7 linked regions of the Mus musculus genome follow. Each later gene encodes a partner of the first gene's protein in a complex. Links are inferred from orthologs where the notes say so. Each region holds a gene or a part of one and is shown in the gene's direction. Other genes may lie near its edges. The genes, in order: Ubtf, Polr2f, Polr1c, Rrn3, Taf1c, Polr1b and Taf1b.

The links.
Region 2: Ubtf (region 1) and Polr2f share a complex: the UniProt entries of both Homo sapiens proteins name them as parts of the pol I pre-initiation complex. The link is inferred for Mus musculus from reciprocal best matches to the Homo sapiens genes UBTF and POLR2F.
Region 3: Ubtf (region 1) and Polr1c share a complex: the UniProt entries of both Homo sapiens proteins name them as parts of the pol I pre-initiation complex. The link is inferred for Mus musculus from reciprocal best matches to the Homo sapiens genes UBTF and POLR1C.
Region 4: Ubtf (region 1) and Rrn3 share a complex: the UniProt entries of both Homo sapiens proteins name them as parts of the pol I pre-initiation complex. The link is inferred for Mus musculus from reciprocal best matches to the Homo sapiens genes UBTF and RRN3.
Region 5: Ubtf (region 1) and Taf1c share a complex: the UniProt entries of both Homo sapiens proteins name them as parts of the pol I pre-initiation complex. The link is inferred for Mus musculus from reciprocal best matches to the Homo sapiens genes UBTF and TAF1C.
Region 6: Ubtf (region 1) and Polr1b share a complex: the UniProt entries of both Homo sapiens proteins name them as parts of the pol I pre-initiation complex. The link is inferred for Mus musculus from reciprocal best matches to the Homo sapiens genes UBTF and POLR1B.
Region 7: Ubtf (region 1) and Taf1b share a complex: the UniProt entries of both Homo sapiens proteins name them as parts of the pol I pre-initiation complex. The link is inferred for Mus musculus from reciprocal best matches to the Homo sapiens genes UBTF and TAF1B.

What each region holds. Positions count from the first base shown.
Region 1 is NC_000077.6:102,316,280-102,320,588, reverse strand, and holds the start of Ubtf (nucleolar transcription factor 1), read left to right. Parts: upstream 1-1,492; 5' UTR 1,493-1,741; intron 1,742-2,533; exon of another isoform or gene 2,534-3,007; intron 3,008-3,301; exon of another isoform or gene 3,302-3,415; intron 3,416-3,883; exon of another isoform or gene 3,884-4,115; 5' UTR 4,116-4,182; coding exon 4,183-4,240; intron 4,241-4,309. UniProt on the Homo sapiens protein: Recognizes the ribosomal RNA gene promoter and activates transcription mediated by RNA polymerase I (Pol I) through cooperative interactions with the transcription factor SL1/TIF-IB complex.
Region 2 is NC_000081.6:79,144,314-79,147,866, forward strand, and holds part of Polr2f (DNA-directed RNA polymerases I, II, and III subunit RPABC2), read left to right. Parts: intron 1-280; coding exon 281-350; intron 351-1,739; coding exon 1,740-1,870; intron 1,871-3,553. UniProt on the Homo sapiens protein: DNA-dependent RNA polymerase catalyzes the transcription of DNA into RNA using the four ribonucleoside triphosphates as substrates.
Region 3 is NC_000083.6:46,245,227-46,249,445, reverse strand, and holds the start of Polr1c (DNA-directed RNA polymerases I and III subunit RPAC1), read left to right. Parts: upstream 1-1,400; 5' UTR 1,401-1,482; coding exon 1,483-1,551; intron 1,552-1,645; coding exon 1,646-1,717; intron 1,718-3,231; coding exon 3,232-3,339; intron 3,340-3,697; coding exon 3,698-3,830; intron 3,831-4,219. Other genes in the region: protein YIPF3, read right to left, coding at 161-267, 408-605, 1,118-1,198. UniProt on the Homo sapiens protein: DNA-dependent RNA polymerase catalyzes the transcription of DNA into RNA using the four ribonucleoside triphosphates as substrates.
Region 4 is NC_000082.6:13,804,646-13,808,198, forward strand, and holds part of Rrn3 (RNA polymerase I-specific transcription initiation factor RRN3), read left to right. Parts: intron 1-303; coding exon 304-434; intron 435-1,913; coding exon 1,914-2,098; intron 2,099-3,553. UniProt on the Homo sapiens protein: Required for efficient transcription initiation by RNA polymerase I (Pol I). Required for the formation of the competent pre-initiation complex (PIC).
Region 5 is NC_000074.6:119,602,385-119,606,606, reverse strand, and holds the start of Taf1c (TATA box-binding protein-associated factor RNA polymerase I subunit C), read left to right. Parts: upstream 1-1,400; 5' UTR 1,401-1,472; intron 1,473-2,228; 5' UTR 2,229-2,229; coding exon 2,230-2,367; intron 2,368-3,141; coding exon 3,142-3,226; intron 3,227-3,359; coding exon 3,360-3,457; intron 3,458-3,527; coding exon 3,528-3,617; intron 3,618-3,702; coding exon 3,703-3,776; exon of another isoform or gene 3,777-3,849; intron 3,850-3,960; exon of another isoform or gene 3,961-4,222. UniProt on the Homo sapiens protein: Component of the transcription factor SL1/TIF-IB complex, which is involved in the assembly of the PIC (pre-initiation complex) during RNA polymerase I-dependent transcription.
Region 6 is NC_000068.7:129,103,943-129,107,495, forward strand, and holds part of Polr1b (DNA-directed RNA polymerase I subunit RPA2), read left to right. Parts: intron 1-1,306; coding exon 1,307-1,439; intron 1,440-3,553. UniProt on the Homo sapiens protein: Catalytic core component of RNA polymerase I (Pol I), a DNA-dependent RNA polymerase which synthesizes ribosomal RNA precursors using the four ribonucleoside triphosphates as substrates.
Region 7 is NC_000078.6:24,554,069-24,557,621, forward strand, and holds part of Taf1b (TATA box-binding protein-associated factor RNA polymerase I subunit B), read left to right. Parts: intron 1-1,921; coding exon 1,922-1,992; intron 1,993-2,450; coding exon 2,451-2,673; intron 2,674-3,553. UniProt on the Homo sapiens protein: Component of RNA polymerase I core factor complex that acts as a GTF2B/TFIIB-like factor and plays a key role in multiple steps during transcription initiation such as pre-initiation complex (PIC) assembly and postpolymerase recruitment events in polymerase I (Pol I) transcription.

The sequences.
Region 1 (4,309 bases):
GAGGTTAAAAAGCGGCACACGCCCAGGCCTTTTCTCCCCAGACTTGCTGGATGGTGGAATACGGGAGGTTAGATCTGTGGTTGCCGGGCTGCTCAAATCCTGCCTTAAACCGGGGTGCGGAGCTCTCTTGTGGGCTCCCCGTCGTCGCCGGGGTGGGGGGACAGCGCCCGCGGCCTGCTTTCTCAGGGCTGGCCAAGCCTTTTTGACAAGCTGATTGCGAGAAGGGGATTGGCTGATCCAGGCGTGACGCCGGTAACAACAAAGGTGGAGTTGGAAGAAATTAGATTAAAGGAAAGGAGGAGAAAAAAAAAAAATTAAAGGGGGAGCTTGCAGGCAACTGGAAGCAGAGACCGAGGGGGAGACGCACGAAGCTCCGTTCCCGGTTCCGACTTCCCCCTTCCAGCTCTTTCGCACAAACGCGCTGGGATTTTGCTCTAAACCCCTACCCCGGTCGCGGCCTAGTTACTGAAGCCCAGGGTAAAGGGATGGCCGTTCCGCTGCTTCTTGAAAAACCTCCCCAACTCCCACTGACACCCTACTACGACACAGGGGTGAACTTTTTGTTCTTAACTCCTCGGATCATACGGCCGGTGAAGATGGGGGACATCGAGAACAACCCAAGACTGGCTCTGAAATCCGGAAGGCCCTCGCCGGGCACCGAGACCCAAACGAGGCGGGGTACTTCCCGGGTATTTTCATACGTTGCAAACCTAGGAGGCTTTTTTTTTTCCCTTTTTCTTTTTTGTAACATTCCCCTTCGCCCCCATCCCGCTTTAGCTTCAGGGTTGCAAAAGCAAAGCAATAAAAAAAAAAAAAAAAAGAGAGAGAGAGAAAACCTGCGCACACAGACACACACCAGTGGCGACAGGGGAGAGTTGGAAAAACGCAGGAGAGGAGGAGGCAGGAGACAGCAAGGATGGAGCAATGGGAGAGGGAGCAGGCAGGATCCCTCACAGATCCCCCTCCGGCCTCAAGCTGCCTTGCCCGCCCCGACAGGAGAGCGAGGAGTCGGGCAAGCAGATGGAGTGGAGCTCGCTCTAGGCAGCTGGCTTGGCCGGAGACTGGAGGAGCCGCCAAGCGACCGGCTGATTGGAAGAGAAACGCAGAGCGATGGAGGCGGGGGTAGGAGGACGATTTCTCTGCGGGGACTGGCGGCGGCGTACACGCCCGGGTCGGGCGCTGCAGAGCTTGGCTAGCTTTCAACCCGCGCTCGGCGGCTCCAGCCCCGCGCACCCCCGCCCCCAGCCCTGCCGGAGGCCCCGCAGGTGAGTGGGAGCTGGGAGCCAAAAAAGAGCTAAATGTCGAAAAACATCTGCCTTGGAAAAAAAAAAAAAAGCAAAAAACATTTTTTTTTTTTTTTTTTACTATTCCTTTTTTTAAAATTTCGTGCAGCCCCCGAGCGGTGGGAGGGAAGGGGTGAGGCTGAGCCGCCCGGAGGAGGCGGAGGGGCCAGGCGAGGCCGGGGCGGCCCGGGAGGCGGCGGCGCCAAGGCGGCTCTGACGGGCGAGCGCTCGGAGCGGCGCTGCGCTGCGCTGCGCCGAGGCGGGCGGGCGGGCGGGCGGAGCGGGGCGGGCGGAGCGCGGCGCGTGGGGCTCGCCATTAGCCGTCGCTCCGCTTCGCCATCTCGGGCTTTGTCTGGAGACTCGCTGCCCGGGCGCCGGCAGCTGCGGAGCTGCGGCTCGGCTCTTCCGCTTGCCGTGCTGCCTGGCGCCCCCGGCCCTCACTAGCACCCACTTGCTCGGTAAGTAAGCCTCGGTGCCGCGGATTTCGGGGGAAAGGGGTTGCTCTCTGGCGGCGCCAATCTCCGTCCTCCACGCGCCCGGGAAGGCCTGGATAGCCATGCCGGGCTGGATTGAACCGGCTCCCAGAGTGACTCTTCCGCTGGGGTCGGCAGCTCCTGGCCGATTCCCGGGTGTGAGGAGGGACGGGAGAGGTTTTTGTTGTTTAGGGGACTAAGAATATATATTTTAAGTTTCACGGGTGTTCTGCGGAGCATAAGGGAACCGAGAGGTAGGCGCCGAAACCTCGCACCGCGATCCGGGAGCGTGAGTCCCAAGCCGGTAGCCACGCTCCGGGGACCAGGGTGGTCGCTAGCCCGCTCCCGGAGGCGGGAGAGAGGAGCAGATGAGGACTAGGCCGGGAAACCGAGCTTAAGCTGGGAGAGCCTGGAAGAGAGCTCCAGAGCAGGGTTGCCGGCACCCGCGAGGCTCGCCGGCCACCCTCTCCACCGCCGCACCTCGGCCCTCCCTTCCTCCCGCGCCGGCCAAGCCTGCTAGTTCCCCCGCGGGGCTGGCGAGGTCGCTTTAGCCGCCCGCTTGCTCGCCCGCCTCGGCTCGCAGCCCCGCCGCCATCCGGGCGGCTGCGTGTCTTCCCTGTCCCGGCCCCCCCCTTCCCCGGCGGCAGCAACAGCAGCAGCCGCCGCCGCCACTACCACCACCCCCCTCCCCTCCTTCCTTGCCTCCGCCTCGGCCGCCCGGGTCCCCCCAGCGCCCGCCCCTCCTCCCAGCTGCCCCCCGCGGAGCCCGCCCGGGCAGGCTGTGGGAGGGAGCGGAGCCGGCGAGGCGGGCGGGCTGGCGCTCGCTCCCCGGGGGTCGGTGTGCGCTCTACGGGGAAGGACGCGCTCGCTGCCCCGCTTCTCCCGCCCCCCCTCCCGCTCCTCCTCCTCCCTTCTCCCTCCTCCCCGCTCCGGCGGCGGAGGCTGCTGCGGCGGCGGGGGGTGTGCGAGCTGAGGCCGGGGCCGGCGGGCGGGCGGGCGGGCTGCCTGCAGGCGGAGGGCGCTGTGCTTTGTGCTTTTCGCCGCGAGGAGCAGCAGGCAGCAGCCACAGCCGCCGCCGCCACAGCAGCAGCAGCAGCCGCCGCCCCAGCGCCGCCGCCGCGCCCGGAGGAGGAGCCGCTGCCGCCGCGGGAGGGAGTTGCGGCTGTGCCCGGCCGAGCGGGGGAGGGCGCCGCGCTCAGAGCCGAGAAGGGAGCCGCCGGAGCGGGGAGCTCAGAGGCCGCGCTGCGCCGGGTAACCGAGGCGGCGGAGGACGTGCGCCGGGGCCGGGGCTAGGGAGCGAGCCGCGGCTGCGGTAGACGCCGAGTGGCGATACCGGGAGAACTGTAGACAAGATGATCAGGGAACGGGGAAGGGCGCCGTGAGCCGGGGGTAGGAAGGGCAGGAAGCGAGGCCCAAGTGAGGCCCCGGGTGGAGGAGCCCGCGTTTCTCCGGCCGACAGGCGCAGTTCTCGCCGGCCGCCGGAGGGGGCGGCGGGGCCGGTGAGCGAAGCGCCCCCGCCTCGCGGCCGCCGTCCTCCCGCCCTCTGCTTGGCTCGGCTCCCCGGAGGCCGGGGCGGGGGCGCCGGCAGGGCTGGGCCGCAGGCTCGGGGAGGAGGCGGCCGTTCCCGCCGCGGTCGCGCCTCTGCGCCGGGTTTCTTCCGTGCGTGTTGGGGTGGCTGGGTGGTGGCGGCGGCGTCTCCGGCCCCGGGTGGTTCGGGGACGGGGGACAAGCTAGGCCGCTTCTCCGACTGCTCGCCTGCCCGGACAGGCGGGGACCGCGTTGGGAGGTCGGGAGGGGGGTAGCAGCGGGAATCCAGATCTAGTCCCCGGGGGCGGTCCGGCCGCTGCGCTCCCGGGCTGGCGGCGGCTGCGCGGCGTCCGGGTCCCCGCCGGGTTGCGGAGGCGGGGGGAACCGGCCGGGGAAAAGCGGGAGGAGGAGACTGAGGCGCGTGCCCGCTTCCATGCCCGCGCGCGCCCTTTACCCGCCCTTCCTCCCCCGCCCTCCAGCCTGGGGCCTCCCCGGGGCGGGCGCTCACCGAGGAGGAGGAGGAGGAGAATTTTTTTTTTTTTTTTTTGCCCGGGTGGGGGAAGGAGGCCGGAGGGCGGGAGCTAGCTGCACGCGGGAGCTGGGAGCAGTCTCTCGCGTGGGCAGGGGAGGGCGCATGCGGCACCGCCTGGCTCTGGGGGCTGGGGTAGAGAAGAGTGGGGCTCACTCCTGCACCCACTGATGAAGTCTATGAGCCTCCTGTTCGGGTCTCGCTGAGAGTGTGGACCTATGCCCCCTCCCATGTGTGAGGGGGTGGGATAGAAAGCCCCCCTCCTCTCAGCCTCCTTAAGTGGGTTTGGTGTCTCTTCAAAAGGGTGAGGTGGCTTTGACCCCGGGTGGCCCGGCCAGCGCGACCGAGGAGGTGGCTGGACAGCTGGAGAATGAACGGAGAAGCGGACTGTCCCACAGACCTGGAAATGGCCGCCCCCAAAGGCCAAGGTATGGGTCCCCAGCTTCTCTTTTCAAACTTGTCTTTTTTCACACACGAGCTCTCCAGCCTTGTAAAAG
Region 2 (3,553 bases), on another chromosome or scaffold:
ACACAAACACACAGATAAAATAAACCTTAAACACACAGTCCCCGGACCAGAACAGTCCATGTGTACATGTAACTGGCGTGGTTCACAGAGAAGGAAACCACAGTGAAGGTGTCCTAGCAAACTGTGGGGACACATGGCACATGATTGGAGGCACAGAGTGACCCTCCAGAGTTTGGTTCCCTTGTTGAGATTTGCCGGCCCCTTGTCCGACACTGCTGAGACATGGGCTGTATCTCTGGTTCTGGCCGGTGATGCTCTAACCACCAGTTTCTTCTGGCAGTTTCGACGGCGACGACTTTGATGACGTTGAGGAGGACGAAGGACTTGACGACTTGGAAAATGCTGAGGAGGTCAGTAGCCAGCCTCGGCCTCTGCCCTGCAGCCCGGACAAGGGACGGGCAGCGTTCACCAAGGGCTTTCCCTGTTCACTTTCCAGGAATGCAATTCCATGGATCTGCTCCGGGCCTTTGTCTGAGTGCCACCTCAACTAGGTCTTGGGATAATCGTGTCGTCTTATGTATGGTTTGGTGGTGGTGGATCTTAGTATAGAGCCTGGAACTTACTATTTAAGCCAGACTGGCTTGTAGCTCACGAGAAATCAGCCTTCCTCTGCCACCTGAGTGCTAGGATTAAAGGCACAGGTAGAAGTAACTTTGGTCCGTTTTATTCACTACTGTATCCTAAATACGGTTCAGCATGTAGTAAGCACACAGCAAACAATTACTTTTTTTTTTTTATGTATTTTTATGCATGTGCACGTGTGCTGTATGCAGGCGCACTTACCTGTGCAATGCATGTGGAGGTCAGAGGTCATCCTCTCTCCTTCTCCATCTTATTTTTCAAGACAGGGTCTCTCTAAACTTGAGGCTCAGTGCTTCAATTAGGCTGTCAGCCAGCAAGCCCCAGAAACCCTTCTGACTCTACCACTAGTTCTGTGGCTATGCCTGTAGCACACTGCTACAGACCCAGACTTCTACATGGAGGCTAAGACCCAAATTTAGGTTCTCCAGTTTAGGTAGCAAGCAGGTTACTCTATGAGGCAAACCCTAACCCTTAAGTCTTGGTTTTAGAATCATGTAAACGGATCATGAGCTGCGCAGTTCTCTGGCAGCCGCCATTGCTATCAGAAACTCTTTGCTTTGTGTCAGATCACCATTATTCCTGTGTGCGTTTGTGCATGCGTGCTGCAGGGGATGAAACCCATGGTCTCGTGTGTTCTCTCTCTCTCTCTCTCTCTCTCTCTCTCTCTCTCTCTCTCTCTCTCTCTCTCTCTCTCTCTCTCTCTCGCCTAAATAGAGCAGAGGACAGCAGGTTCTTGCTCAGTATGTGTTTGACTCTCATTTACCATGACTGTTCTAGTCACCTGACCCAGTGACTCATTTGCCATATGAAAGAGCAGGTGTTTGTCCTGAGCTTCCGGTTCAGGGTGTGCTCACCACTTACAGGGCCAGCTGTTTGGGCAAGGCGGCTGGCTCTAGAGTTCTGAACACCGTCATCTTTACTGCTAGCTTGGAGGTTTTGGTCAGGTTGGCTGACTCTTGAAGCCCCTGGATTGGGGACCACAATCCTTACCTTACAAGGTTGCATGCGGTTAAGGATTGCGTGGTGTCAGTGAGTGGTTGCACGGTCCATGACATCCAGAAAGGGTTGAGGGTGGTGGGAAGTCTCTGTGTCATCATCGTCCTACCTGATCCAAAACTTGCCCTGAGATTTCCCCTCTTTGTTTGCTTGCTATCCAGGAGGGCCAGGAAAATGTCGAGATTCTCCCATCTGGTGAGCGACCACAGGCCAACCAGAAGCGGATCACCACTCCTTACATGACCAAGTATGAGCGGGCCCGGGTGCTGGGCACCCGGGCTCTTCAGATCGCGTAAGTGCTGCCCTTTGGCCGTCGTGTCTGTCAGTTCACCACAGTGAGCCCAAGCTGCTGGTCCTGCCCAGCCCTGGTGTGTCAGGACTTGTGCAGTGCTTTAGGGCACCTGTGGGAAAATGTAAGAAGTGACATGAGAAGTGACAGTAAGAACCCTGGTCAGCCGGGCGTGGTGGCGCACGCCTTTAATCCCAGCACTCGGGAGGCAGGGGCAGGCGGGTTTCTGAGTTCAAGGCCAGCCTGGTCTACAAAGTGAGTTTTAGGACAGCCAGGGCTATACAGAGAAACCGTGTCTCGAAAAACAAAAAACAAACAACAACAAAACAAACAAACAAAAAAGACACAGGAGGATCATGGGTTCACGGGCCTACCTGGACTACCGAGTGAGTTCTAGGCTAGTCTGGGCAACTAGCAAGACGCTGCCCCAAGATAAAGAATGAAAAGAGGTCTGGGGTGGAGCCCAGTACATGTGATTACCTGAGTTCAGAGAATTCCTGTCAGTTGGTCAAACAAAATAAGAGTGAATTCAGGCAAGGCTGCAACAGCTCCTTCTAGCTTACGCTGATGGGAGGGAGGCTGGCCAGCCCAGCCCAGTAAGCAGGCCCCTCACTTGGGAAAGTCTGGAGCAACGGTGGCTCTGGGCGCTAGGAAACTGAAGAGCATGTTGTTTTTCTAAATTTGGATGGCCGGCCAGTGAGCTCAGCCCATCCAGAGGAGGCAGGGTGTTAGTGGAACTCTAGTGGGAGACCCAAGCCTAAGGGAAACTGTTGGTATGGGGCGCGTGGGTGCTGCAGGATGGACTAGGGAGAAGGAAAAACACAGCAACAGCAGAACATTCTCCCATGGGGCTGGGGAGGCCTGCATAGGGCTGTGAGCATCCCTACCACGGGTTCATACAGCCCTGGGTAAAGTTGACTGCAGTGTCTGCCTCGGTAAAGGGTCTTATGTACAGTCAAGGTTGACCTCAGCCATCCTCAGCTATAGACCTTTCTTCAGCCTGGCTGCACTCTTGGCTCCTTGAGTAAAGCCACCTTCAGGGGGATATGTGGTCCTAGTGGCCTAAGGATAGTCTCTGTTATGGCACTCATTGGCTACATGTGGCCATTAAATCAGCCCTGTGAGGCAGTGCACACCTTTAACCCCAGCACTCAGGAACCAGAGGTGTGTTGATCTCTGTGACTCCAAGGCCAACCTGGTCTACATAAGGAGTTCCAGGAGAGCCTTGACTACACAGTGAGGCACCATCTCAAAAACAATAACAGTAAACCCCAAACAACCACCACTACAACAAAAAACACCTACCCAAACAAAGGAAAAGAAAGCACGCACACATACATACACACACACACCAATACTAGAGATACCTCAGATGCTCAGGGGCCTGTCTGTGGCTCCCAGTTAGCACGGGGACATCACAGGTACAAGACATTTCCAGTTTGCTGAGTGTTCTGGGACACATGTTCCTTTAGCTAAGATTGCCCTGTAGCAGGAAGCCTTCATTGTGCAAATCTAGCAGTGCTCACCACTGCACCTGTCGAGGATGCAGAGGTGATGAAGACATCACCTCTAGCTCCCCAGGGAGCTTCTGATGTAAAGGCAGTGTGGGCAGTGCCCTGCAAAGGATACAGAAAAGCAGGCGCCTCGCGGAGGGGCTAGAGCTAGGAGGCAGATGCAGGGCAGTGG
Region 3 (4,219 bases), on another chromosome or scaffold:
ACCTAGCCAACTGTACCTTTCACCAAGTATTCACAACATGTTCAGTTCAGTAATGGGGTTGCAAGTAGGGGAGTCCACCAGAGCTCAGGGCTCTGAGTCTGAGTGAAGTCTGGATGAGGGTCTAGATGTGAGGACAGATGTCTCAGAGAAGGCGCCTCACCTGCTTCGGACCTGGGCAGGCTCCACATCAAAGTAGGGTCTGAGGATGTCAATGTTGGCATACAAGCTGAAGGCCCTGGAAGCCTGTCTCTTCCCTGCCTGCCACATCTGAAGGGAAATGGGTATGATGAGACTCTTGGCTCTAGATTGTTATTCAGTCTCGGCGAGATTTACGTGTGGGTCTAAGTGGAAAACCTCGATCAATTTAGGACATGCATAGGTCCTTTTTTTTTTCCCCATTGGCTTACCTGATCTGCTACCTGCCGGCTCAGTTGTCCTTTAAAGCCTTTCATGCCAAGAAACTCCCCATCCTCTTCTTCTGCAGCAGCTGCATCAGCATCTACTTCTTCCTCCCGCAGGCGCTGGTGCAGCTCACCCATGTCCTCGAAGCTGGAGCCTGAGGTATCGTCCATGTTCTCCATATCAATCACAGCCGAACCCCCACCCTGTGAAGACAACGGCTCGGAGAGTGAGGGGCCCTTCCATTGCATCCTCCCCGTTCTCCGCTCAGCTGACAACTTGAGGCTTTGATCTTCCACTGCCGAGGACATGGCTTGGAACTGCCACTCTTTCAGTGGTGGCAACTCTTGGTCGCGTCACTTTTGTGGTCCTGGAAACCCTACTATTTATTTTCAATCCACGTTGTTTTCCTACTTTCCACCTCAAAGCTCCAAAGAGTTGCAAAAGAGCCCATCTGCCATTCCCAATTCTCAAACAAGCCTATTTTTAGGGGGTGCCAGTGGATCCTAGCCTCCAGCCCCCACAGAGAGCCGAGGCCCGCGGGAGCCCTAGTTTGTCCCTTTCACGCCAGCACAAGAGCTACACCCTTCCCCGGGAAGACTCAAAGGGGACAGGCTGCGTTTCAGCGGAGCCGACCTCTAGGCCCCGCGAGAGAGAACAGCAGCCACCGTCCGGACGCCGCCAGCCCGGGGCTGCTGGCAGCAGGCGCGCTCCATACCTGGATGTTTTCTTCGAAGCCTCCCCATTCCGGGCCAGCACCATTTCGGACGCCGCTGGCCGGCGCCGCCGGAGTCGCCATGTCCCTCGAGGCTTCCCGTCGCTGGAGCACGCGCGCGTGGGAAGAGCGTGCGACCCGGGTCCGAGGGAGGGAGAGGTTCAGAGGGGCGACCGCCCGGGCAAGGTGGGGATCCGCCGGGACGCCGAAGGGAGAAACCCGGATGTTTGGCCCCACTTGACGTCCGGAAGTGAAGGACGTGGACAGAGGCGGGGCAAGATCTCGCGACATTCAAGATTGCGGGAGCCCGAGCGTTGCTGCGGAGACGCAGGCGCGGACTCGCCTCCTTTTACAGCGAGTGGCGGAAGATGGCGGCGGCTCAGGCGGTGGAGGAGATGCGGACTCGCGTGGTTCTCGGAGAGTTTGGGGTTCGCAATGTAAGAGATCGGGGCGCGGGAAGGATGAGGGCGGCACGGGGAAGTAGAGGCCTGGTGTGAAGGCTGGCCACACTGCCCTTTCTGTTGGCTCTAGGTCCACACCACGGACTTTCCCGGTAACTACGCCGGTTATGATGATGCCTGGGACCAGAACCGCTTCGAGAAGGTGGGTAGAGCTGAAGGTGCCCAGTCGGCCCGAGGGGCCAGACCTCGCAGGTTGGGGTGGGGGTCGCTGTTTCCATACAACACGCTTGAGCTCCATGGACGGGTCAGACACGGTGGTTGCTCTCGGTGGGATAATGGACCACACAGACAAGTTATTCCAGAATAGTAAGATAGCGGTGAAGATGGCTGGGATATGGTCAGGAATCATTGATGCACTGAATCCAGCTAACTGAAGGGACGTAGTTAAAGGTCAGTGAAGGGAATGGCATTTGAATTAAGCTTTGAACTATGAATAAAAGTTGAGTAGTGAAGGCCTGATTGGAGCTTCATTATATATGATTTTTTTAAAATTCACTTTGAAACTGTTTCTGTTTAGCCCTGGCACTCTCTCTATAGTCCAGGCTGGACTTGAACTCAGCCATCTACCTGCTTCTGTCTCTGCCTCCCATGCACTGGGATTAAAGGCATGAGCCACCACGCCCAATTTAGAATTTTTGAGTAGACTGATAACATTTTGCAATCTTGATAGCCAGGAGGGAATGAATTCTGGTGAATCTGCCAGCTAGTGTATGCAGGCTGAAATTGGGGGCATAGATGAACTCCAGACAGTACTAACGGAGTAAGGCAGGGAGAACTAGACGATTTGCACCAGTGCTCTGGGGAGGCAGTGTGTGAGAGAAAGGACTTTGTAACTTGAGGACCCTAAAACTTTCTTGATATGCGTGTTTGCCTGCATGTGTATTTGTGCACCACTGTGTGTTAGTGATCCCTGCAGTGTGAGGAGAATGTTAGGTCCCACCAGGTGCTGGGAACCAAACCCAGTTCTTCTGCAAGGGCAGTTAAGTGCTCTTAATAGCTGAGCCATTTCTCCAGTGGCACTGGGGAACTGTTGCTGGCTGTGTCGTTTGCCAAGCAGGAGAACAAGAATGAGGGTACACTCAGGTGCCTGCTTGTGAAGTCTATGTGCTTGCTTGAGCCAGGAGCATGGTGGAGGTCAGCCAGGGGATTAGAACCTAGGAGACAGGAACGTTTACTGTGTGGGTGGAAGGGGAAATTTAGAAAGAAGAGCAGATAAGGAAATTGGTGTTCAAAATCCAAGGGAATGTAGTTGAGAAAAGTAGGTATTAAAAAATAACGACAACAGACATGCAAGTATCAAACGGTCTAAGTAGTGTGGGAAGTTCTGCTTTTTGTATAGTAACTTCTCTGGGTGGTTTGTGGAAAATCTGGGAAGATTGGGCATAGTGGCGCACACCTTTAATCCCAGTACTTGGTAGGCAGAGGTAGGTGGATCTTTTGAGTTTGAGGCCAGCCTGGTCTACAGAGTTCCAGGACAGCCAGGACTACATGGAGAAACCTGGCCTTGGAAAAACCTAAAAAACAAGAAACACACAGCCTTGCCCCCAAGAACAGGACTGGAGACAAAATGTCTACTGAGCACCATGACTTTAGGGTGAGGGGATAGTGCAGGGTAGGAGCCAGGCAGGAGTCATGCAGGAGCTTCCCTCCTTCTAGAATTTCCGTGTGGACGTGGTGCAAATGGATGAAGACACGCTGGAGTTCGACATGGTGGGGATTGATGCTGCCATCGCCAATGCTTTCCGGAGAATCCTGTTAGCTGAGGTATTAGAGGACGTGGGCTGGAGGGTAGAAATTGTATCAATTTGTAGACGCTTTTCTCAAAGCCATCCCTCTGGGGCAGGTAGGGTGGTTCACACCTATGACAGTCTGGGCTACATAGTAAACATTGTATCAAGAATCTGAGCCACACGCCTTTAGTCCCAGCACCCCAGCACTCGGGAGGCAGAGGCAGGTGGATCTCTGAGTTCCAGGCCAGCCAGGGCTATACAGAGAAACCCTGTCTCAAAAAACCAAAAAAAAAAAAAAGAATCTGAAGGGCAAAATGAAAAAGTGCTGCCTCTTCCTTTTCCAGGCAGGGGGATGGGTGGAGGTCAGTTGTCTGCTTTGCCTCCTTGGGCAGGTGCCGACAATGGCCGTGGAGAAGGTCTTGGTGTATAACAACACGTCCATAGTCCAGGATGAGATCCTTGCTCACCGCCTGGGGCTCATCCCCATCCTCGCTGATCCTCGTCTCTTTGAATATCGGAACCAAGGTGAGGCTGAGAGCTTGGGATTATGAGTTAGGCAGAACTGACCTGGAATGCATGGGCTCAGGTCCCAGGCCTACTGCTGGGGCTTTAGTTGGCATCTTGTACATCTGCCTTCGCCTGGGAGAACAGCTGTCCCCACCCCACCTCTAGTCTCACTGTGTACACCCTCGGAACACAGCGCTAGCAGCACTCAGGCTCTCTCCACCTTTACATTCTTCCTGGGGATTGAACTTGGGTCTTCAGGTTGGAGCAAGCATGCACCCTCACTCTGTGAGCCTTCTTGTCAGCCTGGTATTAGAGTTGATATGGCCAGGCACGGTGGTGGACAGCTTTACTCCAAGCACTGGCAGAGGCAGGCAGATGTGTCCTGAGTTCAAGGCCAGCCTGGTCTG
Region 4 (3,553 bases), on another chromosome or scaffold:
TGCCAAGGTCTGTCAGACTCACTGAGGAAGAGATGGAGGGAGAAGGGGTTCTGTTAAGGGCTGGGCATGTGGCTGGAGAGATAGTAGGAGAGGCCAAGCAGTCCCTGTCACCCTGCTGAGGCCTGGGGAGCAGGGACTGACACAAGGGATGGGTGGGGGGAGAGCTCAGTCTGCCGGGGTTGGCTTCAGTAAGAACCACGGCTGCCCCTTTGTGTTAGCAGTGTGTAACTACAGTGTTAGGTGCTAAGAGCTAGAAGATCTTCAGCATTAGAAAGATCAAGCGAGCGCTCTCTCTTGTTACAGGGATTTGCAGAAGCATTTTTGGAACATCTCTGGAAAAAGTTGCAGGATCCAAATAACCCCGCCATCATCAGGCAGGCTGCTGCAAATTATATTGGGAGCTTTTTGGCCAGAGCTAAATTTATTCCTCTTATGTAAGTAACCTAATTTTCTCAAAGCCTTTTGTTGTTGTTGTTGTTTAAAGATGTACTTATTTATTTTATGCGAGTACACTGTTGCTCTCTTCAGACACACCAGAAGAGGGCATCCGATTCCATGGTTGCTGGGAATTGAACTTAGGACCTCTGTAAGAGCAGTTAGTGCTATTAACCGCAGAGCCATCTCTTCAGCCCTCCTCTCCAAATGCTTTTTAATATCTTAGTCAGAGAAATTGACTTTATACTTTTGGTCTGTCTTTGTAAAGCAAGGGGGAAATCTGATCACTACAATGCAAGATGCCTTTCTTTTTTAAAGATGTATTTATTATATGTAAGTACACTGTAGCTGTCTTCAGACACACCAGAAGAGGGAGTCAGATCTTGTTACAGATGATTGTGGGTCACCATGTGGTTGCTGGGATTTGAACTCAGGACCTTCGGAAGAACAGTTGATGCTCTTAATCGCTGAGCCGTCTCTCCAGCCCGTCTGTCTTTATTTCTAAGAAGCAGCTTGAGGCAGGGAGGGCTCCATTTTGGAAGAAGTACATGAGGCTTTTAGAAAGCATGCGTTCATGTGTTGTTCCTGAGCCTGTCTGTCTTCATGGATAGCATGGTGTTGTAGATTGTTTTGATTCTTTTTGTAGGTTTGTCATTTTTCACTTGCTTTCCAAGTCCCTTGTGTCTGTTTGTCCTGAGGAAAACCCTTTTTAAGGTAATTAGATGTGGGATGGAGGCCAGTTTCTTCAGGAGGCTCCAGAAGCTGTCTTTCAGAGAGATGCTGTTAACCCATCCCCAGTCAACTGAAAGTCTGTGACCAGAAGAAGCTGAGATCCTTAGCCACAAACCCAGTGGGTTAGGAGCTGACCCAGGAAACCCCAGCTGAGTTGGAAAAACTGAGCTGCATCCTGGGTTTTTTTGTTTTGTTTTGTTTTGTTTTGTTTTGTTTTGTTTCATTGTGTTTTTCTGAAACAAAGTCTTGCTCTGCAAATCAGGCCCTAAGGCCTCTTGCTCTACAAAAGTTAGCACTGCTTCACCTTAAAATTGGAAGGCATCCTTTAACCCCAGCACTTGGGAGGCCGAGGCAGGTGGATCTCTGAGGTCAAGGACAGCCAGGGCGACACAGAAAAACCCTGTCCAAAAACAAATGGAAAACCACAACAAAAAATCTGAAGGCAACTTCCTGCCACCTTCCTTTTCCTTCTGCTTTGCTCTGCTAGTGGGTAAGGGTTTTGGTGAGTTTTTTGTTTGCCTATATTTTTTGTTTATTATTATTATTACTTTATTGATTTATTTCTTTTTTGTGATGGGGATGGACCCTAAGACCTCATGCATGTTAAGCAGTTGCCTGCCAGTGAGCTACACCCCAGCCCATAGGTAGTATTTGAGCCTTCTCTAATGGATAGTGAAAGACAGGTGTGTGTTTCTGTCTCTAGCTTTCTGATAAAAGCAATAACCCTGACTGTTTTCTCTTTCTAGCACTGTGAAGACATGCCTGGATCTCTTGGTTAACTGGCTGCACATGTACCTTACTAACCAGGATTCGGGAACAAAGGCTTTTTGTGACGTTGCACTCCATGGACCATTTTATTCAGCCTGCCAAGCTGTGTTCTACACTGTTGTTTTTAGACACAAGCAGCTTTTGAGTGGAAACTTGAAGCAAGGTCAGTTGTGAGGGTTCAGGCTGGGTTTTCTTATTGTACTTATACCTTTAGGGCACTGCTACTGGTCTTGAGTTTGTGACTTCCATCGACCTGTGCAGGTGTTGTCTTCGAGACCTGGGATCTGAGGACCTGAGAGAATGGGTGGGGTCTAGTCTAATGCAGACAGCCTCCCTTCCGTTTCAGTGTGCTTTATACAGGAGGGTAACACAGAGAGCAGCGAACCAAGGATGGTTGCCTGAGTTCAGAAACACATGATCAGAAAAACATGCAAATAAATGCTAACAGACAGAGCAGCCCTGCTTGGCGTGTACCATAGCTTATATCTGGGAAACAAAAGCAAAGCAGGAGGTCATATTCAGATCATGGTCCACTGACCAGATTGGGTTCTACAGCTATGTTCCCACATCCAACAAGAATAAACCTGTCTTATAAATTGAATGTAAATGTTTGTCACAAGAGGTTCAGAGTTATCTCCTAGAGCAATCCAGGGGACAACGCACCTGAGATGAAAGGCCCTCTGCTTTTTTTCCTGGAGCCTTTCTCACAGTTCCCCAAGGCGTTATCCTCTATGGGTCACTCTGTTGACAGCGGTCATGCTTATTTTTAAATGTGTGAGGGAGTTGAGGGCCGGTGTCACCGCGGAGCATCTGACGTCATGAACCTAGAACGGAGTTCTGGGTTCACTTCAAGGGTGAACAGTGTTTATTCCTTCCGCTGCTGTTTATGCACTGTTTAGCTGCTGCACTTGGAGCTTGAGCGAGCAGTGCCTTCGACTCCACTTACTTGAGTTCATCCTGCTGCACTGCATCATGGCCTTGTTTTGCCCCAGGACAACATCCCCCTAGGCCAGTGGATCTTCTTAATGCTGCTGCCCTTTAATACAGTTCATGTTGTGGTGACCCAGCCACAAAAATATTTTCATTATTTACATCATAACCGTAATTTTGCTACTGTAATGAATCGTAAAGTAAATATCTGTGTTTTCCAACAATCTTAGATGGCTCCTGTGAAAGGGTCAATTGGCCCTTCAACAGGGTCATGACGCAAGGCTGAGAACCCTTGTCCTAGGGCATGGGCCAACATGCACGTGGCCTCTTGTGTGTGTATGTGTGTGTGTGTGTAAGAGAGAGAGACACACACACTATGTCTATTTGTGTCTGTGTGTATTTGTGTGTGCTGCCTTGCCTAAGCTTCCCAAGGTCTGAGATTATAGTTGTGTGCCATACCTGGCTTTGTTTATGTGATTTTGGAATACATACATATATACATACATGTGTGTGTATGTATACATACATATATAATATAATTTATTAATATATTAGGTTTATTAGCTTTATTTTTATGTGTATGGATATTTTGCTTGCATGTATGTCTGTGCATCATATGTGTGCCTGGTGCCCATGGAGGTCATAAGAGGGCATCAAACCCCTGAGATTGGAGCCACAGACAGTACTG
Region 5 (4,222 bases), on another chromosome or scaffold:
CCCCATATGATGGCTAGTTTTGGTGGTCAACTGAATATTTGAAATTAACTGGGACCCAAACTGCTGGGCACACTTGTGAGGAAGTTTAAAAAAAATTATTTATTTATTTATTATATGCAAGTACACTGTAGCTGTCTTCAGAGGCACCAGTAGAGGGCATCAAACCCCATTACAGATGGTTGTGAGCCACCATGTGGTTGCTGGAATTTGAACTCAGGACTTTGGGAAGAGCTGTCAGTGCTCTTAACCGCTGAGCCATCTCTCCAGCCCTGTGAGGGATTTTCTTAATCAGATTATTTGAAGGAGGAAGAGCCATCCTAAATCACCTTCTGGTGGCAGCCCAGATAAAAGAAATGGAAAAAGAAACCATGATTTGTGCCTGCTGGACCTCACCCTCACCGGCAAAACCATTTATTTTATGGCATTGCTGAAGTTTTCCTTTCAGTATTCAAATCAATTTCTTTAGGATTCCAACAGAGACTGAAGCTCGGCGGCTCTTTAGGAATGGCCCAGGACTACAGCACCAGATCAGAACTGCTGAGACAACCAGCCTCGTGGACGGAACAGTACCAAATTCTCCTTGCCATTTCTGTCATAAGACAGCTATTATTGAACTACGCAGATCACAGCCTGTAAGCCGGTCTAATAAAATCTCCTCTATTCCATACTCATTCAATCAGTTCTGTTCCTTTAGAGATCCCTTAATAAACTCAGGAACACAGATTTTTCTCCCTGAATAACTTGCTCCACCATGAAGACCGATTTATGAAGTTCTGATAATTACAGGACAAAGGAAAGTCAAACCCAAAGAAGTCGTCAAACACATTGGCGGGAATGTCATGTAGGTAGGTTGCAGTGACGCAGGAGAATCTGTTCCTTGTCTCGATTCTATCTGAAGATATTCTTAGCCTCCAGGCGATGGAAAGCAAGTGGTCAGCAGAGCCACGCGTCCTAAGTTTTACGCGATAGTGTCAGGACCAAGGCAACTTACAGGCAGAGCCCAGGACTCGCTGCATGCGAGCGAGTTTGAACAGATCCCCCAAAACTCGCAGGTGCACACACAAGGAATATTAGCTTGAGAATGACAAGCTAATATTCCCTCCTGGCCCCTGTTAAAGCCACACATGCACCCAGAGGTGTCTATGAAGCGGATTCTAGGACTTGTGGGTAATAAATACAGTGCGTGGCTCATCGGAGGTGCTCACTTGTTCGTTGAGAGGATCAATTCAAGCTTCTCAACACTTTTGTGAAATAGGATGGAAATTTCATAGCTTAGGCGCCACGACCATGCATATTGGCCCTCAGCTCTGCAGGTGGCGCTGGAGGACTCGGTTAGATGATCTGGGGGCGGGACTTCCTGTTTCTCGGGCGAACTTCCGGCCTGATCCGGAAAACAGTTTAGTCTGCTCCAACAGTTGTGGGTGGCGGCGTTGAGGTTCGGCACTCTGGCTCCTTTGCGGCCCCGGGGTCAGGTGAGGCTGTTGCGGGAATGCTGAGAGCACGTGGCAGACCACGTGGCTATAGAGACTGGTCGATTACAGCGCTGAGGCTCGTCCTAGATGCTGGCCACGAGGGAGGGCGGTCCGGGAACACTTGTGGTTACTACACACCGGTTTTCAGTTCAGACTCTAAATTCAGCGCCTTCACGTCTTGTCCAGCGGGTACTAGTGCTCTGCTGGTGCTCTTATTGCGGATGTTAGATTTAATTTTTACTAAAAATGAGGGCTGACTTGACAGTTACTGCTTCTAAAGAGTTCCTGCATTTATTCAGCCCACGGGCATTTTCGGAGAAGCCTGTGTTTGGCAGTGGGGAAGCAGGAATAGTACGCAGCCCATGTCCACAGAGGGGTGGAAGAAAGTCAGCCTGCTACTGTCATGCGCAGCGCGTTGATGAACGCTCAGCCTTCATCGGCATCACTTGGTCCTCCACACTCTCCCCTTTGTATATTCTGTGGTTGCTTATCTCTTTGGCACTTTACCTGCCACGAGGCCTTTTGCGATCACTTTCTCCCCAGCCCCTCTTCCAAGGTGTGAGCAGAGATATCTGTCTGGCTGCCCTCAAGAGAGTGAGCAGTCCTTGGGCAGCCCTGCTGACGCGCTGGCATTAGGCATAGTCTGGTCTTTATCTGCTACCTTGTAGTGGTCTCCCCTACTGTGTTCTGAGAACCCTGGTGCACTGTTGAGACTCCTAATGAAGGCGTGTGTAACGTTAGATACATTCTCTCCAGGATGGACTTCCCTGGCACCCTGCGCCCTTCATTGTTTAAGGCCGGTCCACTTGGCATGACTGATGGCCCTGACCTGTCCTTCATGTGCAGCTGGAGAGATGCACTGACCCTGCCAGGGTCCCAGCCACAGAACTGCAAGGTGAGGATGGAAATAGGGTCCTTTCCTTGGTCTGTTCCTCCTCCTTGCTCACTTATTGGGAAAAGAGGTCTAGGCAGCTGCTACTTGAGCTGCGCACCGGTTGCCCTGCTGTCCAGACAGTGTCTCTCAACAGAGGCTGTGGCTCCTCTTTCCTCGCTCCCTCTCCCTGGGTTCAGCAGGTGTTTATGTGTTGGGGTCCTTACAGGCCCAGGAGCCCAGCATGAGGAAGTCAGGCAACCCCACCTAAGGGACTTCCAGTTATGGTGAGAGACTGTACACCAACGGGCAGACCTTTTATAGTGTGGCCTTGACTTGCCTGAATTAGTGGAATGCCAGGGGCAGGATTTCTGCTCTTGGGAGGTCCATCTCTAGCAGCCTTGTATTGAGTACATTGAGGAGAGCATGTCAAAGAGAGGGTGTTGGGGGAGGGGAGTTCTTGGTCCTTGGGACAAGGGTGCCCACTGAATGGCAGGACTCAGAGGAGATAGCTGAGGAAGTTGGAGCTCATTGGGTTGTGGGTAGGCAGTCATGACTTAGGCGCTTCCTTTGAAAGCTGCTGTGAATGAAGTTTAGAATTCAGTTCAGACTCTGGAGTCGGTTGCCTGGGTTCAAGTCCATGCCTGTTTGTTGCTTCTGTCACCTAGGGCGGCAGCCTCATGCTTCAGGGTTCCTCATTAGCGAAGTGACCACCTTTTCACATTTGTCCCGAGGACTGAGTTAGTTAATTGGCAGGGATTGCACACCTGTCATGTTATTGCTGCCCCGTTTCCCTAGGATCCGACCTTGTCCTTTGCCAAGAACCTACTGTGGGAGCCATCGACGCCAGGACCCCTCCCCCTCCTGATGCCTCCTGATCCTGGTAAGAGTCTCTCTCCTTTTGGGCCCCCTCCAAGGACCTCAGCCATCACACGCACAAGGGGAACCTCAGACCTCCAGGGGTATCCTGTCCCCATTCCTTCTCAGGTTCTTCTCTGATCTCCTTCTCCCCTTAGATCCCTGGGACCCTGGTGTGACAGCTCAGGACTTCCTTTTCCGGGGAGGTCACTGCTACCAGTACCAGTCTCAGGCTGTGCTGGATGTCACTGAGCAGGTAAGTGTCCCTGGGTGAGACTGGTTCTCAGCGCCTGTGCTATGCTGACTCACACAGCTGTTCCCTCCAGCTCAGCCGCTTCCTGTGGGACCATGGGGACATAGCCTTCGCACCCCTGGGGAGACTCATGCTGGAGAACTTCAGATTGGAGGGGAACCGGGTAAGGAGCCGCCACCACCGGGTGGATGGTCAGCCGCCTCCCTGGTGAGACCCAAGGGTACCAACCTGACAGCCCTTCCCTGCAGGGCTACTCGAAAAAGATGACTATAGTCAGCGCGAAGAAGCTGCTTCAGGACCTCGGCGGACACCAACCCTGGGGGCAAGTAGCCAATGAGAGAGCAGCCATGGACTGGCCTGCCGTGAGATGTGGAAGGACCTGGGACACTGACCAGGTTTTCGTCATAGTGGCTTTTCCAGCCCCACACAGTCCTGAGCCATGAGTTCACAAAATCCCCGGCAGCGTAAGGGAAAAGCAGATTGGTCATTGGTAAACCTTAGGCGTGGGCTGCCAGACCTCCACCATCATGGGTCGCATGCACGCTCCCGGGAAGGGCCTGTCCCAGTCGGCGCTGCCCTACCGCCGTAGCGTCCCCACGTGGCTGAAGTTGACGTCTGACGACGTGAAGGAAAAGATTTACAAATTGCCCAAGAAAGGCCTGACTCCCTCCCAGATAGGTGTAATCCTGAGGGACTCACACGGGGTGGCCCAGGTCCGTTTTGTGACTGGAAATAAAATCTTGAGAATCCTCAAGTCCAAAGGCCTTG
Region 6 (3,553 bases), on another chromosome or scaffold:
GGTGGGATGCGAGGGGTCATGCTGTATAGCCGTGGCTGGCCTGAAACTCACTGTGTGGATCAACTCACAGAGATCCACTTTAATGCACGTCGTCCACCCCACCCTGGGATTAAAGGTGTATACACCCAAGCCTGGCTATGTCATTATTGTGGGTGGCCAAGGGAGGTGGGGAGGGGGGTCAGTTTAGTCACTTGGTATCCTCTGACCACATGTAGAGGTCAGAGGATCAGAGGACAGCACGCCAGGTGTTGGTCAGGGCGTGGACTCAGGTTGTCAGGCTCCACAGCAAATTCCTTTACCTGCGGAGCCATGTTTCTGGTCCTAGGTTTCCGAGTTATCCATAGACATATTTACATGAATACTGAACCACCGAAGCATTGTAGAAGCTGCCTGCAAAGCTCCCTGAGCTGACTGGGTGGTTCCTGTACACTTTCCTCCGTTTTAGCTGCGAAGGTAGCTGTGGGCTATTGAGGTGAAGGAAGGAAGATGCAACAAACTCTGCATATTCCTAAGAAGACTGTCAGGCCTTGGGAAGAAGGTGTGGGTGTCAAATCAGGATGTGACACTCAGCCTCCCTGTTTGCCAGTTGTGGGGCTTTGGAGAATTTAAGTCACCCTAAGCCTCCATTTCTTCTAGTGAAGCAGGCCTACCTATCACTAGTGAGGCAGGCATACCTATCACTAGTGAGGCAGGCCTACCTATCACTAGTGAGGCAGGCATACCTATCACTAGTGAGGCAGGCCTACCTATCACTAGTGAGGCAGGCCTACCTATCACTAGTGAAGCAGGCGTACCTAGAAGAACCATGTGCTTCGTTCACAGAGCTGCAGCGGGGGTGTCTGTTTGATAGCAGACTGTTAGTATATACTCTTTTTTTCTTTATCGTTAAACGTATTTTCCTAAATTTGTCTGGTCCGGATTTGTAGTTAGCAGAGCTCTTGGGTAGTCAACCTCTTCCTTTGTCATTATTTTCTTAGCTTACCCGGGAGCCCATTTGAAAGCAAAAGTGGTTAGTATTTTTATCTTTAGATTTTTGGAGCAAGTTTTATTTGTTTAAATTAGGAATTGAAATAAGTTGGGACAGAAAGAAAAGTGTTACTGAGCCGTCTGGTTGGAAGGGACGGCCCTGTCTTCCTGACATCCTGTTCTCTGTGTCTATTGGATCACACTCGTGTATTTGACAAGACTTACCCTGGAGCTTGTTCTGTTTCCAGAGCCCGGCACGTGCCTCTCCTGAGGGTTGCACTTTGTTGGCAAGAAATACTGTGTCTAGTTGTTTAACAGCTGACAACCATGTCTTTGGCAGGAAATGGGCGGTTATTTTATAATCAATGGCATAGAAAAAGTCATCCGCATGTTGATTGTGCCCCGGAGAAATTTCCCCATCGCCATGGTAAGGCCGAAATGGAAAAGCAGAGGACTCGGCTACACTCAGTTTGGTGAGTCTTAGTGAACGTCAGAATGTTGCTTTAGACAACCTGAAAACCATTAACAGCTCTACAAAATAGTTGTGTTTCCCTTACATTATTTTTGTTTTTCCATTAAGCACTTCTATGATGTTCAGGGTGAAGGTTGGGGGGGGGGGGGAGTGTTGATCCATGTGTAAACTTTAAGTTACAGGCTAAGGACAGGGCTGGGAAGTGGCTCAGTGGGAAAGCATGGGGAATTTGGTTTGGGTCCCCATCACCCACATTTAAAAACAGCAGAGGGGCATAGCAGTGCTCATCTCTGATCCTAGCACTGGAGGGGAGAGAACAGGAGCCCCAGGCAGGGGCTACAGCTAATTTAGCCAAGGTAGAAAGTTTGAGGGTTCAGTGAAGACCCTGTCTCAAAAAAGCAAAGCGGAGAAGCGAGTGAGGAAGACCCCTGTGCCTGAGTGGGAGAATAACAGCCCCCCACATGTGAACGAACACACACATACTTGAATACAATCTAGTGCTAGTGTACAGCACTGGGACTGTAGTTAATGATACTGTTTTGCTTTTGAAATTTAAAAATTAAGATTTTTAAGTGTCTGGTCCCACATGTACAGACATGCACAGTTGGTGACTATATGTGGTAATTGATATTTTCATCAGTTTGATTATGGCCATTGCTATGCATGTTTCTCAGCTAGCAGGGTTCTGTCTTCATAAGCCTGGAGTAAATTGAAAGCAGAGTGCTTTAAAAATGCACTTAAAGGGGCTGGAGAGATAGCAGTTTCAGAGCTTGTAATCTTCAGAGAACCTTAGTTCAATTCACAGCATCCATGTCTGACAGCTCTAATTTTATTTATATATATATATATATATATTTTTTTTTTTTCTTTTTTTAATGCACTTAGAGCCAGGCACGATGGGGCACACCTTTAATCCCAGCCCTAGGGAGGCAGAGGCAGGTGGATCTCTGAGTTCAAGGCCAGCCTCGTCTACATTGTGAGTTCCAGTACAGGACCGTCAGTGTTTCATTAATAGACCCTATCTGGGGTGGGGTGGGGTGGGGGTGGGGATAATGTTCTTAGAGGCAGGGACTGGTTTGGTGGTAGATAGCTTGTCTGACCTGCAGAAGTTTCTGGGTTCATTACTTGACACCGCACACATAATAATGCACTCAGTACACTGACCTGCACACATAGTAGCTTAGCTTAGCAAGCCCAGATGTGATTAGAACAGTTATTAATACAGCAGCATACACTTTGAAAAACTCGACTAAAGCAAAGCCTGTTTTATGAGCGAGTGTCGATGAAAAACTCGACTAAAGCAAAGCCTGTTTTATGAGCGAGTGTCGATGCTCTTGTGCTCGCACACAGATTGGCTTTTTGTACATGTGGCGAGCCTGTGTAAACACTGTTCGAAACACTGGCGACCCCGGAGCCTGAAGAGTGTCAGCTGGTTTTCTTTTCCATCTCTGCGCTGGTTGGGAGCTTTGGCTCAGCGCTGCTGTCCAGCATCCTGAGAAAATACACAGCACTGTTAACCTAGGAGCAGGTCTCAGTTCAGAAGTGAACTGTGGTTTCTCCTGAGTGGATCATGGTTAGTTGGCACCATTGTATATGTGTATAAATTGGCGCCCTTTGTATATGTGCATCAAATTGCTTTACTATATATATGCTGTTTACTAAGAAAACTTGAGATATAACCCAGAGAGTGATTTCATAATGAAAATCCTTTGTATATTTTTCATCTGGAAGATTCCATATATTTATGGTGTTGTTTTTGAAGACGAAGGCTAGCCTGACTGAGTACCTGTGAACAAAGGCCTCAGAGGCCCCCTGGTTCAGGCTGCCTTGGCATAACCTCAAGGGGGACTAGTCTGTGTTCAAATGCTGCCTGTGACAGTGCCTGGCACCATAAGATAGCATATGGCATTCTCTATAAAACTTTTATATTACATATATAAAATTTATTTTTATAGTTGAGATAATAATCATCCTGTAATTGTTACCATAGATACAACACCTAGGAGAGCAGCATCTCAGAATGTCAAAACATGTAGCCACTGGTCCTTTTGGTCTGATAAAGTATCTATAAACCTGAACTCTTGAGTTCTGCTGTTCTCCATCAAGATGTTAGAT
Region 7 (3,553 bases), on another chromosome or scaffold:
ACCACTCTCTGCAGCACAGAGCAGCACAACTGTATTTTTTTTTTTTTTTTTTTTAGATGATGGCCTTTAATCCCAGGATTTGGGAGGCAGAGGCAGGCGGATTTCTGAGTTCGAGGCCAGCCTGGTCTACAAAGTGAGTTCTAGGACAGCCAGGGCTACACAGAAAAACCCTGTCTCGGAAAAAAAAAAAAGATATAGTCTCACCATGTAGCTCTGGCTGGCCTGGCACTTGTCTCTGCATTCCGAGTACTGGAATAAAAGGCATGTGTCACCACTATTGCAAGCCTCACAAATACGATGTAAATTAGTCCTCATAACTGCCCTGTAAGAGCAGGAAACAGGGCACAGATGCTAAATGTGTTTGTTGGCTCATGTATTCATCTAGTCCATTATTAATGAATACTTAAGTTGAATGCCTACTGTGTGCCATCCCATCTATTATTAACAAGGAACCTAGAGAGGACAGGGACTCTAAAAGAAGACCAACAGAGTCAATTAACCTGGATCCTTGGGGACCCCAGAGACTGAGCCACCAGCCAAAGAGCATACAAGGGCCAGTCCTAGGCCCTCGGCACATATGTAGCAGATGTTCACCTTGGTAGTCATGTGGGTCCCCCAACAACTGACTTGGCTTACCCTGACTCTATTGCCTGCCCGTGGATCTGTTCCCCTAACTGGACTGGCCACCTTGTCTGGCCTCAGTGGGAGAGGATGTACTTGAGGTGCCAAGATTGTTTGTACCGGGGGAGCAGGGGTCCCTCTTCTCAGAGATGAAGGAGAGAGAAGATGGGGGAGGGACGAGTGAGGGGGGCCTCGGAGGAGGGCTGTGATCAGGGTGCGAAGTAAATGAATAAGTAAACTAATGAGAAGAAAAAAGAATATATAGCCATAGTGGGTATTGAGGAATGTAAACATGAATGGGAAAACCTTGACCCCACATCTTATGAGAGGCATAGAGGCATTAAAATGATGTAATTCTACAAAGATAAACAAACAACAACAACAACAAAAACCCTTAAGTTGAATGCCTACTGTGTGCCCTAGAGAGGATAAAGGAGACAGAGACAGTTCCAGGACCTTCATAGTCACTCAGGCTGCTGAACACATGCAGAAGTTGAGCAGATCCTCTGACTCAGTGTCTTCTTCTGCACCATGCTGTCTTTATTACTCATTTTTTAGTAGCCTGGATCAAGAAGGTGGATTATTTTTTTTTTACTGTGGTTTCTGGAAGGCTCCTATTTAAGGAAGTGCAGGAGAATAGAAATGAGCTTTGAAAACATCGAATTATGTTGTTCCACAGTGGCATCCTCTGCTGGGCAGTACTGATGGCTGCCTGGACCAGAAATGGTCACCAGTCAATCGCAGGAAGCCAGATAGCACTTAACCTTTGGTGGGGAGTGGGAGGGGGGTACCCTGTGGACCAGATCATCCCAGCACCCCCTCTGCAGTGAACATGCCTAACTGGCCCTCTCTCAAAAGATCAGATTCTTAGGTCTGTCTTGCTAGAATCTGGATCTTTCCTTCTTATTTTCAGCAGGAAGAGGGTGGTTTCCAGGCATTGGGTACCAGAGAGACAGGTACTCACCTTCTATTTTGTATGGGTTTCTAGAATCAGAGGGCACAGCCCTCAGTTATCAGCGTTTGCGGCAAAGAGAAACAGCAATGAGAGTAAAGAGCAAAGGAGTGCCACACGGTGATGGCAGCCTTCTCTGCTGTGTTCTGGATAATGGCTCCTAAAGGGTCCTTGACTCCTAGGAGGGGCACACTGATGCTCTGCTCTCTCTGGGTGTTTCCTTCTGGAGCAGAAGTACTGAGAGAGTGTAGACAAGCACCCAGAGCTGCTGAGTGTCAGGTCCTGCCTGTCTCAGAGCTCTGAGCACCTGCTTCTCACTCTGCTTCACCTCTGTTCTGCCTTGTACAGGTATGCTTGGAAAACCAAAAGGCCACTCTACCGTTCACACATCGATAAGTCCGTCGCATATAAGAGAAGAAGTGAGTCTGATGGTTTCATTTCTGTGCCATGTAGCAGCACTGTTGGGAGTGCCAACCATGTCCACAGGAAAAGCAAGGGCATGCACATACTTTCCACTCCCTGGGGATGCTCTCGAGTATATCTCCTGCCAAAGGGGAAGTCACATAAAAGTCCTGGAAACTTGCCTGCTCCTTCATAGAGAGCTCAGTTTCCCTGCAAGACCAAGGTCCTGTTTCCGTGACTGTGAGAGCTCTGTCAGGAAGCCCTCGTTAAGTAACTGTCTGAGCCCCTCCTGCAGCTCCAGCCTCACCTAATGCTCTGACGTATGTTCCTGCAGTTAGGAAACCAGCTGTGTGTGTGTGCACTCAGGAGGCTAAGGGAGGGAGGAGGCCCCGGAGTGTCCCCCCTAAAGCAATCCATTCCCGTGACTGCTGGCTTTCCTTGTGCAGTAACATTTTTCTCTTCCCTCCATCTCCAGAAATGGTGGAGAATCTTCAAAAACAATTTAGTGCCCTGGTTGGTTCATCACCCGTGGTTGAAAAGCAGGCCCCTTCAAGTTTTCAGTTCAACTGGACTGAAGAAGGCACTGATAGCCCTTGTTTCCATGGACACAGCCTCCAGGGACTCCTGATAATGAAAGGCCAGTCCATGATAACCAAGAACTCCCTGTATTGGCTCAGTACCCAGAAGTTCTGCAAAAGGTACGCATGTTTTTAAAACTCCAAAAGCCTGAGGTGTGATAAAATCTCCAACTCAGGCTGAAGAGGTCCTTTCTCTTCCTTTTTGAGGTTATAATATAATTACACCATTTCCCATCTTCCTTTCTTCCCTCCAAACCCTTCCATATACCTCTTGGTCTCTTTCAAATGCACTATCTTGTTTCTTTTTCCATTAATTGTTGCTTACATGCATGTGTATACATACATTTGTCATAATACTTAAATAAATAGACCCTGCTCAGTCTGTATAATATTATTTGTTGTGTGTTTTCAGAGCTGACCATTTGCTGTTGAATAAGCAGTGCTCAGGCTTTTCCTTGGGGAAGTCTACTCTCCCCTTCCTCAGCTGCCTGAGGCCTCATGGGTTCCCTGTCCGCTTAGGCATCTCTGTTGTCATTGTCCTTGTTCAGTTCTGGTTTAGGCAGCCATGTGTGTGAGGCATTATGTGTGTCACTTCTGACATTAGGAGATACAGTGTCACAGCAAAATCCTGGTCCTCTGCTTCCTCCAATCCCTGTCCTCCTCTGCTATGTGCCCTGAGCCTCAGGCGTCAGAGTGCCTTGTGGATATGTCCATTAGGACTGGGCTCCACACCTCTGCAGTTTGATTGGTTGTGACTTTCTGTAATAGTCTCCATCTGTTGCAAAGAGAAATTTCCTTAATGATGATGAGGAGGAGGAGGAGGAGGAAGAGGAGGAGGAGGAGAAGGTGGAAGAGGAGGAGGAGGAGTACACTCACCTGTGGGCATAAGGACATACGTTTAAGTGTAATTAGGAATTATGCTTGTTTAGTGTAAGTGGTGACTGTGGGATTTTTCATTCCTAAAAAACAACAAACAAACAAACAAAACCACCAGGGTTGG